2 linked regions of the Mytilus edulis genome follow. The protein of the gene in region 1 purifies or fractionates together with the protein of each later gene. This does not show direct contact. Links are inferred from orthologs where the notes say so. Each region holds a gene or a part of one and is shown in the gene's direction. Other genes may lie near its edges.

Evidence for each region.
Region 2: the proteins of WD repeat-containing protein 48-like (region 1) and RAD51-associated protein 1-like purify together in Homo sapiens (affinity purification with mass spectrometry; 5 studies listed by BioGRID and IntAct, counting the BioPlex papers as one, with this or other methods). This does not show direct contact. The link is inferred for Mytilus edulis from reciprocal best matches to the Homo sapiens genes WDR48 and RAD51AP1.

Annotation. Positions count from the first base shown.
Region 1 is NC_092355.1:81,255,479-81,263,024, reverse strand, and holds the start of WD repeat-containing protein 48-like, read left to right. Parts: upstream 1-4,464; 5' UTR 4,465-4,473; coding exon 4,474-4,533; intron 4,534-7,097; coding exon 7,098-7,238; intron 7,239-7,546. UniProt on the Homo sapiens protein: Regulator of deubiquitinating complexes, which acts as a strong activator of USP1, USP12 and USP46. Enhances the USP1-mediated deubiquitination of FANCD2; USP1 being almost inactive by itself.
Region 2 is NC_092350.1:13,501,453-13,508,575, reverse strand, and holds the start of RAD51-associated protein 1-like, read left to right. Parts: upstream 1-4,102; 5' UTR 4,103-4,183; coding exon 4,184-4,206; intron 4,207-7,123. UniProt on the Homo sapiens protein: Structure-specific DNA-binding protein involved in DNA repair by promoting RAD51-mediated homologous recombination.

The DNA of each region.
Region 1 (7,546 bases):
GTGACCAGACTGCACCAACAATTAATTAGAAATAATTTGTCTTAGTACCTTTTTAGTGTGTGTTAGCGCAGCCAAAAAATAACAATAATTTTCAATATTGTCAAAATATGTATGCACGAACGACACTCCGCATAACTAAAAGTAACAACCCTTACAAAACAAAACATGCTTACACATGCATATATTTCCATGGCGAATACATTAGAAGATACATTATTACCTTTACTTTTTGACAATGTGCGCTCCTTCAATTGTGGAAATCAACGGATCTAGACACGTTTTTAGTTTTTTTGTAACTTTCGAGGTAAAGTGTTGAATTTAAAAAAAAATGATAGTTTTAATGCTCGTTCAAGATTATAAAAATATTTACACGCTTATATATTTTATTCCAATTAAAGGTTCCATAAGTTCTGAAGACTTATTATAATGATGTTTTAAAATTGAGAGACATGTGTTATTTTGACAATCATATATAGATATGGATATATAATCAACTTTATTAGCTCACCTGGCCCAAATGGCCAAGTGAGCTTTTCTCATCACTTGGCGTCTGTCGTCCATCGTCGGCCGTCGTCGTAAACTTTTTACATTTTTGAACTTCTTCTAGAGAACCTCTAAATTAAATGAAACCAAACATGGCAAGTACTGACCAAGTGTTGTTACTTTGTAGCCGATCCATCATCCAAGATGGCCGCCAGCGCCCTACGGGAAATACATACAAATGTCTTCTTTTAAGAGAACCACAGAATGGAATGGAACCAAACATAGCATGAATTTTCCTAATGAGATGCTGACCAAGTGTTGTTACTTTTTAGCCGATCCATCATCCAAGATGGCCGTCAGCGGGGGACTTAGTTTAGCATGGGACCCTATGGGAAATACATACAAATGTCTTCTTTTAGAGAACCACTGAATGGATTGTAACCAAACATAGCATGAATGTTCCTTATGAGGTGCTGACCAAGTGTTGTTACGAAAGCCGATCCATCATCAAAGATGGCCGCCAGCGGGGGACTTAGTTAACATTGTACCCTATGGGAAATACATACAAATGTCTTCTTTTAGAGAACCACTGAATGGATTGAAACCAAACATAGCATGAATGTTCCTTATGAGGTACTGACCAAGTGTTGTTACGTTGTAGCCGATCCATCGTCCAAGATGGCCGCCAGGGGGGGGGGGCTTGGTTAAACTTCGGACCCTATAGGAAATACATACAAATGTCTTCTTTTAGAGAACCACTGAATGGATTGAAACCAAACATAGCATGAATGTTCCTTATGAGGTACTGACCAAGTGTTGTTACGTTGTGACACGGCGACATATAAAAAATCGAGGAGCAAGTGATGAGAACTTATTTTAATAAGATTGAATGAAACCAAAAATAGCATGAATGTTCCTTATAAGATGTTGACCAAGTGTGTTTACGTTGTAGCCGATCCATCATCCAAGATGGCTGCCAGCGGGGGACTCTGTTTAACACACTACCCTATGGGAAATACATACAAATGTCTTCTTTTAGCATGTTTAGAAAAGCACTGAATGGAATGAAATAAAACATGGCATGAATGTTCCTTATGAGGTGCTGACCAAGTGTTGTTACTTTGTAGCAGATCCATTATCCAAGATGACCGCCAGACGGGGACTTAGTTGAACATGGTACCCTATAGGAAATACACACAAATGTCTTTTTTAAGAGAACTTCTGAAAGAAATGTAACCAAAAAAAACAATATTAAACCAAATTTTGCCTAAAACATCATTATAAGTATCTGTTACAAATTTTTACATTTTTTAATATTTCAAAATCCCAAATAGAATCAGGTGAGCGACACAAGCTTTAGGGAGCCTCTAGTTCTATATTCTTATTGGCCTCAGCCAGACCAGAGTCATACGCATGTGTAAAAGAGCAATATTGAAATATTGTTGTTCGGTGTGAGCCAACGCTCCGTGTTGGAGGCAGTACCTTGACCTATAATTGTTTACTTTTATAAATTGTTATTTGGATGGATAGTTGTCTCATTGGCACTCATACCTCATCTTGCTATATCTATATATAAACAGATAAACATAAATTTTCAAACATGTAGTAGGAATAATTTTCTAATCGATCAAATTATCAGAAGACCATTGTCGATATATTGTGGAAAGACAGTATTTTCATTTAATCTTTGAGATATTAATATAGCATTAATATAAAATAGTTTTACTATTAACAATAACCACAATAAACCTATTTCTCGTATCAAACATAAACTAAAAGAACTAGCCAAGGAATTTGTTTTTGTCCCGATCGATAAAGCTGCTTATAATATTATTATTGTTACATTGAGGTTCTGAAAAAAGAAATCACCAATTCACCAACATTCCAACTGACTCCATTTTCAGAAAACGACATCTGTAATAAACATAAACTTTTAGCTACCACTTTGATGGCGTGCACAAAGCTGAGTCCAAAAACGTAACGTCTTTAAATTACTAAAATCATTTACCGCTATTTTCCCCCAGAAAACGTAAGCGTAACAAAAACACTGGACAATTAGTTTATCACATAACTTTAAACATAAACGTTCAACATATTTCTTTTTCTTTCGAATAACAAAGTACAGCAAATGCACATTCTGAAAATGTTAAAAAAAAAATATGCTTAGAACAGTGTAATGGAGACAATTAGCGACTATGTCATGGACCCTAATAACAAAAATAGCGTTAAAACGTCATTTCTTTAATCTGTAACATAATGGCTGGACAGTTTGGAAAATTCAGGTGTTCAGTCTGGACTATCGAATCCTTCTTATATTGCAATTTTTTGAAACCTCTTTTTATGCACATTTAGAATATCAAGTCATTTCGCAATATGAAAATAGCAAGTACATATTTATTTTAACGATTCTTCCATGTTCTAATATTAAGCTTTAAAAATGTCTACTTCTTACATATAACGAACTTCATTTCCAACACATCCTCCATGGCCAATTTGGATTTTTTTTAGGTAAAGTTCGTTTGACTTTATAGTCTGAATCCTAAAATATCTACTGTACGAAATGCAAGAAAGTACGTTAAATTTGTACAAATTTCAGGTCAAAAACTCTATTTTATGCTTATTTAATGTTACAAGTTACATATGTTTTTGCCGTTTCCATGTTTGTTTCATACTTCATAGATTTTATTTTGAGAACTTTTTTTAATAATTTGGATGTTAATGGCTAGTGTTCATCCTTTCATCATAAAAAAAACTTCCTGTTTGAAATGTATGATTTACATGGTTGTATAAAGCTACTTTTAAAAGCGCATTTTACAATTGCCGTCAACTCTGTGCACGCCGTCATTACAAGCAGAACCAAAAACAACGAAAGTCCCAACTATGTATTGGATTCCGAAGCTACACAAAACACCTTACAAATATAGATTTATTTCGTCTTCAGGCAAGCCATTGTTCCACTACTAAATTGTCTATTCTTCTTACCAGTACACTTGGTACAATCAAAAACCTGATAATAAATTGTTCAAATAAGGCCTTCGAAAATAGTGGAATTAATTACTTTTGGAGTGTCAAGAACTCGTTGGAAGTACTTGATAAATTGCATGCTTATATTGGTGATTTTATATCTGTTAAAGTTTTGATTTTTCTACCCTGTATACCACATAATTTGCCTCACATTCTCATTAAGAAAAAATTCACCCACCTAATTAAATGGGCATTTAAAAAGTCTGAATGTGAATATATATGTTCAACTTAATTACTCTTTTAGGTAATTTTTTGGTAGCAATAAAAAAACAAAACTTTGTCAATTGGACATGCTTTGATACTATATATGCCCTTGAATTTTTACTAGATAACATTTTTGTTCGCTTTTGAGATTCCGTATATCGTCTGCAGGTTATCGGAATTCCAATTGGGACTAACTGTGCACCACTTATAGCGGATCTGTTTTTGTAATGCTATGAGTTACAATTTATTACAAAAATTTAGCAAAGACTGACTATCGAAACAACATATGATAAAATCTGATAATTAGAATGTGATATGCCGTACAGCTTTTCCCCATGGTTTGTACTCTCCCCTGAGGTACTCTCAGTTGAAATAACTTCCACAAAATAGCGTCAGCGTTAAAATATTTATCCAAAGACAGTGTATTTTATAGATATTTGTAAATGTGTTTATTTCTTATCTTTTTAATAGGAAGTTGGTATAAACTCAACAATTGAGATAATTTAATCGGTTAATGTAAAAAAAATGTATAAAAAATTGAACGCAGCAGAGCTAGATGAAAAAAAAATGAGATATTTCGTGCTAAGAATTAAAATATGTTTTATTGAATAGAGAAGAAGTGGGTTTGGGTCGCTAGAGTTACTATCTCCAGCTTTATCATTAGAAAACCTGGAGACAAAATTTTGTGAATCCGGATTAGGCTAGTCCTTCCGATACCGAATTACGGTTAGAATTATTCCCGAATTTAGTGACGTATTTCACATGTTATCAATGGCTACACACCACAGAAATTCGGCAGGACAAGGCAAAAAGAAAGTTCAGGTGACTGACAAGCTATCACAAATGTTTGGTGCAAAATATATTTGTTTCTGAAGAACTTAATACATATAGAAAGACGTGGATACTTTTGGACAATGTACTTTTTTATTTAAGAAGTCAGAAGAGTGAGATAAAAAAAAAAATTATACCAAACACATACTATGAATATGATACATGTGTAGCTGCGGAACCGTAGCTCTTAGTCTGGTCCTTATGATATTGTATGACTATTTGCCTACCGTATCTCTTAGGTCCTCGTGATATTTTTTTACTATCTTTAGACCAGTAAAAAAATATAAGGACCTAACTGATAAGAGCTACCAAACAAGGCACTTTTTTCTATCCAAGTCCATGGAAAAATCCACTAGGCCATACTTAAAAATATATTGGTTTGCCCAAACCCTACCCAAAGGTTGAGACAGTGGGTAGGTAGGTAGGTAGGCATTTTCTTTTTTTTTTCAAAAAAAGAAATTGAAGTATCAGATGTTTATTAGTCTTCATGCCTATTTGATTAAAAAAAAATTCTTCAAATCAGGACAATAAAAGAATTTGAGTAGGCAGTTTTTATTTTCTGGGTAGGTAGCGTTAGGGCAAACAAACCTATTATTTATTATGGCCCTATCAATGTATATTTATGTAAATGAAAAGTGTTATTTACATGCAAGTTTTTCAGATGTTTTATTTCACTTGATTTCCAGTTTTGACGTTTTAAAATTTCTTGTTTTTGTGTTAAAGTAGATGTGCGTTCTCCGTTTTTGCCCTTGTGTTTTTGTGTTGGTACTTTTTATTTCTCGTGCTTGTCCTGTATTTGATTCAAAGGTCAACCATACTAATTCTGCCCAGATATTGTATGTGTATGGTACATATATGCAATAAAGTCCATGAGATTACTATAAATTATATATTTTTCAAAACCAGGTGCAACTTATGGACACAAAAAAGTTGACTGCAGGGTTATCATTTCTGTTAAATTATGACTGCATAATCAAGTATTTTTTTCATTAATGTTTATGATTTTATTTCTCATGCTTGATGTTTTCCTGATTTTCTTAGGCCTGTTTATGTGACGTATTATGGTTGTCCGTCGTCAACATGTTGGAAATTTTCAATGAATCTTTGGTGAATTTTGTATATCTATTGACGTGAGCTCCTTTTCTTTTTTATAAATTTTAGATGTTACATGTCCAAGTTTGGGTTTTTTATTCATTACAAAAAGTGGGATTTCCCAGTTTTCAGACAATAACTCAAAAACAATTTTACCAAGAATCTTTGGCACATTGTTTACATATATATTGACATGAGCTCCCTCTGGATTTTTATAAATTCTAGAGTTTATGTTTTTAAGTTATCAGGTTCTATTCATTACAAAAAGGGGGATTTTTCCAACAATATTTTTTAATTTTAAAAATGCTTTGAGTAGTTTTCCTGAAATTTTAGTGAATTGTTTATACATCTATTGACTTAAGTGCCCTTTCAATCTTTGAATTTTTATAAATTTCAGATTTTAAGCTTACTAGTAATGGGATTAAATTAATAAAATAAAAATTCCTAAGGGTTCCACGGAACCCAGTGTCTCGCCTACTTTTGCTGTTAATCGCAGACTCAACAAAAATGAGGAAAAACATCAATAAAAATTTCCCTCTCAATACTGTCTTTTGATTGAAAGAAGCTTCCAAGTAGGTAAAAAAATCCAGGATACATGTAGTTTATGAATCTAATAAATGTTTTATAAACTTTAACTGCAGACTGTATGTAATGTTAACTGGAAGAAAAACTAAGTCCAGTTATAAGTCAAATATGGAAAAGTGGAAATTTATTTTTACAAAATTTTCTTCTTGATACTATCTTATGATCATAAACATGCTTCTGTCCAAGTTTGGTACAAATCAAGGATAGTTTATGAAAGTTATTTAAATTTTAAAAACTTTAACTACAGAGTGAATGTAATGTTTTCTCGCAGAAAAACTAAGTCCATTTATAAGTAAAATATGGAAATGTGGAAATTTATTTTTACAAAATTTTCTTCTTGATATTATCTTATGATCATAAACAAGCTTCTGTCCAAGTTTGGTACAAATCAAGGATAGTTTATGAAAGTTATTAAAATTTTAAAAACTTTAACCACAGCGTGAATGTAATGTTTCCTCGCAGAAAAACTAAGTCCATTTATAAGTAAAATACGGAAAAAATGGAATTTTATTTTTACAAAATTTACTTCTGGATACTTTCTTATGATCACAAACAAGCTTCTGTCCAAGTTTGGTAGAAATTTAGTATAGTTTAAGAAAGTTATTAAAATTTCAAAAACTTTAACCACAGAGTGAATATTTGTGGACGCCGCCGACGCCGATGGAATGTAGGATCGCTTAGTCCCGCTTTTTCGACTAAAGTCGTAGGCTCGACAAAAAGGTTTTTTTTTTAGTTTTCTCTCACAGCTTGGAAATAATGAGGACCATTTCTGGTGTATCACTGTTATAACCAGATCAAAGATCCTGGATCAATGGAACACATAATTGCAGAATATTAATGACCCACTTATTAACAGTTTCATCTTTTTTATTTGTTAGGTTTCTTTTGTTATCCGAGATGAAGTTGAACGACATCACAGATCTGGGATTAACTCCCTTCAGTTTGACCCACTTATTAACAGATTATACTCGGCTGGGAGAGACTCCATCATCAGAATATTTAACACAAAGACCAACAAGGTAAGAACACATTATCAAACAAGAACAAGGTAAGAACACATTAACAAACAAGGAAGAAAGGAACACATGGAGGTTGTTAGAAACACGAAAAACATGTGCGATAACAAAGACACAGATATAAAATAACACTAAGAAGGCAAACACAGATAAAAGGAACCAAAAAAAAAGGAATCAGGTGAAAATATTGCAGATGAAAATAAAAATAAGAGGACACCTGGACACACAACACAAGAAACTGAAATTGAAACAGGAATAAATTGACGAATGTAGGAACAGATGTAATGAGGACAATACACTTTATAAAAGTA
Region 2 (7,123 bases), on another chromosome or scaffold:
ACGGTCCCATTCGCTGAAGAACTTCCAATTTTAATTCATTGTTTTCGGTTTTCTAAATAACTTTTTAATAATTTTTAGAGAATTTTTAGACAGACCGTATGCTTCTAATTTAAGTAAAAGTAAATCATGAGGTAAACAATCAAATGCTTTAGATAGATCCATCAAAATTGCAGCAATAAATTTGTTCTCGTCCAGAGCTTTTTTCCAGTCTTCTATTATTTTAATAAGTGCAGTTTGGCAACCAAAACCTGACCTAAATGCCGAAAGAAGAGGATGAAAATGTTTATTTAAGAATTCCATTTAATAGTTGGTCATGAATAGCTCTTTCATAAATTTTAGAAATACATGGCAACACACTTACAGGTCTATAATTTTCTTTATCAAGAGAGTTATTCTTTTTAAAAAGTGGGGAAACCTGAGCAGCTTTAAGATTATCAGGAAAAATTGAGCTTTCAATTGATTTATTAACTAAAATTTTAATAGGATTTGCTATTACTGGCTGTGCCAATTTTATAATTTTTGGTGAAATATTGTCATATCCAGTGGCTTTTCTTATATTTAACCTATTTATTTGTTTACTCACAAACTCTTCTGCTACAGGTTTAAAATTCAACTCATTATAATCATTTTTATTTTCTTCAATTTTTATTATACTTGGATGATTTCTGTCTATTTTAATGTTTTTGTCTCCTATATCTTTAGCCACATTTATGAAAAATTTATTGAAAATTTCTGATACCTCTTTAGGATCACTGAGAATTTTATCATTTTCATATAAAATTATGTTATTGTTTGATTTAATATTTTAAAATTATAAATTGTATCCTTCAACTTTAGAAAATGACTGAATACACCACTGCAAATATGGCTAACATTTTGAGGAATAAATGCAGAAATCTTTAGACCTAAGAAGCTAAGACACATCTTCACTTTAATGGCTTGGGTAACATTATCAAGTAGTTTTAGCTACATGTATGGGTCCATCCAATTAACTTTATTTCATCCCCATTTTGTCTTGGGCTTATATATAAAATTCTTACCATTTTTTCTGACTCATTATCCATTATTGATTAAATGAATATTATCAAATCTACATAAAAATCTGAAAAATAAAAAAAATGATTTTTAGGAAGTGGAATGATACTCAGAATTGCATGTCTTTCCTGCTTTTGTAGAATAAATTTGATGTACTGCCTTATACATTTACGTTTATTTTACATATGAGACATAAAAAATGTCCTTTAAAAAAAAGGTGACAAATTGTCTTCATCAGGTGTCCAGAATATATCCCATGCATGATTAAGATTAGATTACTATAATGAACCCAACAGACAACTCCCCACTAGAGACTAAATGACATAGATGTTAACATTATAGGTCACCATACAGCCTTAACAGCGGTCAACAATCAGCAAAGCCCATACTGCATAGACTTGAATGAAATACTAATACAATATACAACAGCAAAAGACAACCACTGAAAAGACAACTTGTGATCTGAGTTTGTGGCAATTCTCTAAAAAAAAATTGGTTTTAATGAACATCAATCATGCATTCAGCAGCTTTGCCATTTCTTTCCCATGTTGAGCAAGTGATTGAAAAATATGATGCTTTTTTTTAAATACATTGCACCAATCATTCTATAATTTTAATTTATTGTATAGCAATATAATATTTCCAACAGAAAGTAACCAAAAGTTAGCATGCAATAAATTCTAATATTGCACTAGTGCAATAAATATTCAAAATTCATGACGTCATCAATGACAAAATCTTAGTTTAAACCAATTTTTCCTTTCAAATATTATATTGCTATACAATAAAAGGGTTATTGCATGAATATTGGGGAATATTGTCCCTCGTAGAACATATATTGCACTCGCAAGCTCGTGCAATATAAAATTCTACTCGGGACAATATTCCCCAATATTCATGCAATAACCCTATATTATTATAATTGATAATCCGCACTGCTGTCAATAGGAAACTATGATACAGAACATATGTTATTTCTAGTTTATCCTGCATAATGACGATCACAAATATGCTTGATGAAATTTAATAGTGCAGGGATTCAGGCAATGCCCTCTTTCTAGGAAATAATGTCATGAAGCACAAGTTTTTCTGGTGAGGGACATTACTTAAAAGTAGCCTATTACAGGCTCCTTACTTGGGACAGGCACACACAGAGTATGACAGGGTTAGGAGGTGCACAACCCTCCATTGTTATCTTTAACATATAGAAGTTAATTATGAAGTATTATGTACCTCATACTAGATGATTGATTTCCATGTCTGAGGCCCCTGTAACATCATTCAATTGTTATCATGTAGTTAATACTTATGCATAGGTGACTTCGTTACCTTCCTCATCCTTGTAACTTCCCTTATTTATATAAAAAAAAAATTAAAAAAAACTCAACTGTGGTTGTTATTACAGCCCCAAGTTTTTACTTTGGTCTTGGTACCAGAGATGTGAGAAGAAGGGTAAATTGATGAAAACTCTCGCAACGAGGGTCAGAATGGAACCAGGGACTATCTGCTTTGACTGCTGTGTCAGTGTGTGAATAAGTTCTGTCTTCTACTTCAATGTAAATCAATCCAATGTCCAAGTTGTCTCATATCTTTGGGCCTAACACCCCTCAGATATGAGAAGCCTACATGTACATCTTATACATGTGACATTTCACATTCAACCACATAATACGTAACATAATACGTAACATAATACGTAACATGCAAGCGCATGTACTTGTATGCAAACAGTCATTCTTCATATATATAGAAGAGGATTTAATAGACCACTTTCGAGTTCATCCGTCACCGGAAAAAACTCGTCAATTATACGCCCTTTTATCACCGTCATTTGTGCGTTTTGGGGCGTCGTCACTTCCCTTCCAATGTTGAGCGAGTGGTTGGAAAACTATAATTCTATATTATACGAATTATTCGGCAAATTGAATTCTCAAAATTGACAATCAACACTGCTGTCATTAGGGAATTGTCAGTAAGTACCTACAGAGCAACCATTATTTCTAGTTTATCCTGCACAAAGACGATCACTAAGACGCTTGATGAACGTAAATAGTGCAGGGATACAGGCGACCCCCTCTATCTGGTAAATGACGTCATAAAGGCGTGCATAATTGACGAGTTTTTGCCGGTGACGGATGAACTCGAAAGTGGTCTATTGGATCCTATTACAATGCATTCCACTTTTTCAATTTAAACACTTCTCGTGTTTTGACAGTATACTAATAATATATACAAGCTTATATGATGGGGGGAGGGTCGGAGGGGTACTGATCCTGAAATTTCTGGTTTGAAAACATGAAATATCGAGGTCCTTAATTTAAAGAAATTTAAATCCAGACATCCTGAAATTCAAAAAGAGAATTCTCAGATCCTGATCCCGATCTTAAAAACACCGAAATGGTCGGCTCAGTGGCAGATCAAGGGGGGGGGGGGGGGGGTTTCCGGGGGTTGGAACCCCTTTTTTTTTTGGTCGATCAATGCATTTGAATGGGAGCATATAGTTGGAACCCCCCTTTTAAAATGGCTGGATCCGCCACTGCTGCCCCTCTGATATGAAGACGATATCCACATTCTTTTGGCTTTACACATCACGCCTCCATGTTATACCATCGCACTGTTGTTGTATCGGATCATTGGACTAATGGACCGACGGAATATCGGACTGACAGACTACTTAACTGTCGGAATTTCGGGGTATCACTTCTCGCTCAGACACAGATCCGCCCCCTCCTTTTTTGCTTTACCAACCCCCTTTTTGTTTTTATAAATTATACACACCTTTATAAAGTTAAAGTGAGGAAACTATTGTCTGTTGGAGTTGTTAATACAGACTTATACTTTGGCCGTTTTCTGACTTTTCAGAACTGCCTAAATAATCAGTGGACATCTAATTTTCGATCTTCTAAACAAAGTTTGCCCACGTCCGAGTGTTTAACCCGGATTCGAAAATATCAAAAATTTAATTGCAAAGAAAATGTTAGTATAAACAGTCCAAAAAATAACCAATTATTTTTAAAAACTATTTTTTATTTCAATCAAACAAAAAATAGTAATCATTTACAATTTTGTAATTCGAAACAGTGATTCATTTCAAGTTCCGGCGTATGAGGAGGGAAATTGAAATATTTATAAACATTGAAAATGCAAAATGTCAGATAGAAGACCTGCGAGGTTAATATACGATAATTAGTGTGAGAGGAGTTTAACCAATAAAAGGGACGAATTCTGTAATAGTAGCTATTTCAAAGGGTGTTGCTTAATTATTTTTCATCATAACCGAATTTTTATCTGTTTACTTTACAGTTACGGGTTACACTAATGTCCTGACAATGTCCTGACAATGTCCTGACAAAGTCCTGACAGAAATGTAAATGCTTAATACTTTTTTGTTATTGGAAGGATTTACTTGAAATTTGGAATCAAGCAAGATGAGAACTTGTATTTAATAAATAAAATTAAAAAAATTAAAAAAAAATAATTTAAGACTTAGAAAACTTGACCTGACCAACTTGACTTAGAAAATACTATTGTCCTGACCGATATGAAACGGCTAAAAAATAATTTATTATTGACAGGATAGACTTCAAATTCGATACCAAGGAAGATTAAATCATTTATTACAAAAATATCAGGAAAAAAAAGAAAAAAAATTTTTTTAAGAGTTAGAAAACTTGACCTGACCAACTACACCTTTGCCGTGACTCATGTCCGGATCGATATAAAAATGATTCTATCTATTTTGTTATTGTAATGAATGAATTCAAATTGAGTAGTTAAGAAGTTTGCAACATTTAACAAAGAAATCAAAAGAAATAAAAAGAAAAAAAATGTTGAAAAGACCAAAAAACTTGACCTGACCAACATAGGCTATTCACCGAAAAAAGGCATGTATCTTTAAAAAATAGAATGACTATGTTAATTACTTAAATAAATGTCTTTAAGTTTGAAAACTATCATTATCTTATTAAATTTTTAAATGACTAAAAGAAAAAAGTTAACAATTATTGCAAGGGTAAATAATATTGACCTGACCACTGTAGGACTTGATAAATTTTCTAACATGTTAACCTCTTACCTTAAATTAGTGAAATTAAAATATCCGATCACAATAATATGAAAAACAACATTGAACACGAAAGATACAGTTAAAATGAATGAAAGAAAAATGTTAGGCCCAGTTGCAGTTGCTGAATGTGAGTATTGTTTATTCATGTTAACATTCTCTTATTGCTCTATTAGTCAATCTGATTAGGGGCTTGTGATGATAAGATTAATCACTTATTTGTTAATCCAATTAATTAATTATGAACTTGAACTTGTGTGTTAATTTATTGTATTTCTTTGTGATTCCAATATAATATTAATGTATATGCTTGTATACACATCCTTTTCAAACAAAACGAAGCCCATTTCCTGCTTTTATATGACATGTATAATCACTCAATAACTAGATAAAACAAAAAATAACTTATTGATTGTAAAGAAAACATTTCAAATTGTGATTATAGTAATTAATATAGGTGTGTTTTAATTCTATTGATTATTGTCACCTTCCTTTGCCTTTATTTTAATACATTTTTTTTTAACTGAGTTATTGCACCAAGAAAGAAAAAAAAACTTTCAATTTACTTATTTATTAAAATCAATAGGTAGCTAATCACTATACATTTTTATAATTTTTAATTGAGTTTATTAATTCAATAATTAGTTTCATTATTCACTCTGAGTTATTAATCAAATTTATAATAAGAAGTAGATTTGTGAAACAAAGGGGTAAACAATACTCACAGTCACTCAGCAACTCATATTTCCCCTATCTTTTCATTTAACAAAATTTATTTGCTTTGGATGTTGTATTTTATGGATAGGAAATAAATAAATTCAATAACAATATAAGGTAAGAACTAATAATGTTGTTGTTTGTGTATTAAGTTTAAGGGGTTCAGTCTTTTTAAAGTATTTATTTCCATTGAAATATTTTATTTCCAATTTATTGGAACAAGTATAAAAATAAAAATGTTACAATTTGACTTAGTTTCAATTAAGCACTCAATCATACCAACAATGTTGCAAGTATTAGCACTTTCATATCGGTCAGGACATTTACTCACAACAAAGTCGATGTTCGTCAGGTCAAGTTTTCTTACCTCTTAAGTATTTTTCCCCCAATTCTTTTCAAATAAGTATTTACTCAATGTTACTTTCTTGTCTTGTGTCAAATATGAAGTCAATCCGACGGAATTTAAGAAATAAATTACCAGTTTTATATCGGTCAGGACATTAGTCACGGTTGGACGTGGTTGGTCAGGTCAAGTTTTCTAACTCTTAAAATTATTTTTTTTTTATTTTTTTTTTCTTATATTTTTGTAATAAATGATTTAATCTTCCTTAATATCGAATTTGAAGTCTATCCTGTCAATAATAAATTATTTTTTAGCCGTTTCATATCGGTCAGGACAATAGTATTTTCGAAGTCAAGTTGGTCAGGTCAAGTTTTCTAAGTCTTAAATTATTTATTTTTTTATTTTTTTATTTTATTTATTAAATACAAGTTCTCATCTTGCTTGATTCCAAATTTCAAGTAAATCCTTCCAATAACAAAAAAGTATTAAGCATTTACATTTCTGTCAGGACTTTGTCAGGACATTAGTGTAACCCTACAGTTACTCTGAAATTTTTTTCAACCACCTAGTCCTACATGAGTCCTACAGAACCATCATTAATTTTCCAATTTTGTCCAGAAAAAACGGAAATGTCCTATAAGTCTCAAGTGATCGAATGCTTCACTCAAGCAGGGCTTTCCATTGAAATTGAAGTAGAAGGCTCAATTAAAATTATAGGCGGCTGTAACATGCGTTCGGCGAAGCCGGACGGCCACCAAGCTGTAAGCTTGGTGCCTTACGGCAGGGGGTCTGGGGGCAGCTCAAGGCCCCCAGAAGCTCTGACATAAATAGAGCAAAATCCTGCATTCTCACAATCTCCTGGCACCTAATTTCATCTTTCAAATGACCATTATTTATGTATGAAATTAAAGAAAGAAAAAAAAAATCAAAGAAATTTCATTTTTTTTTATGTTAGTTTTTTATTT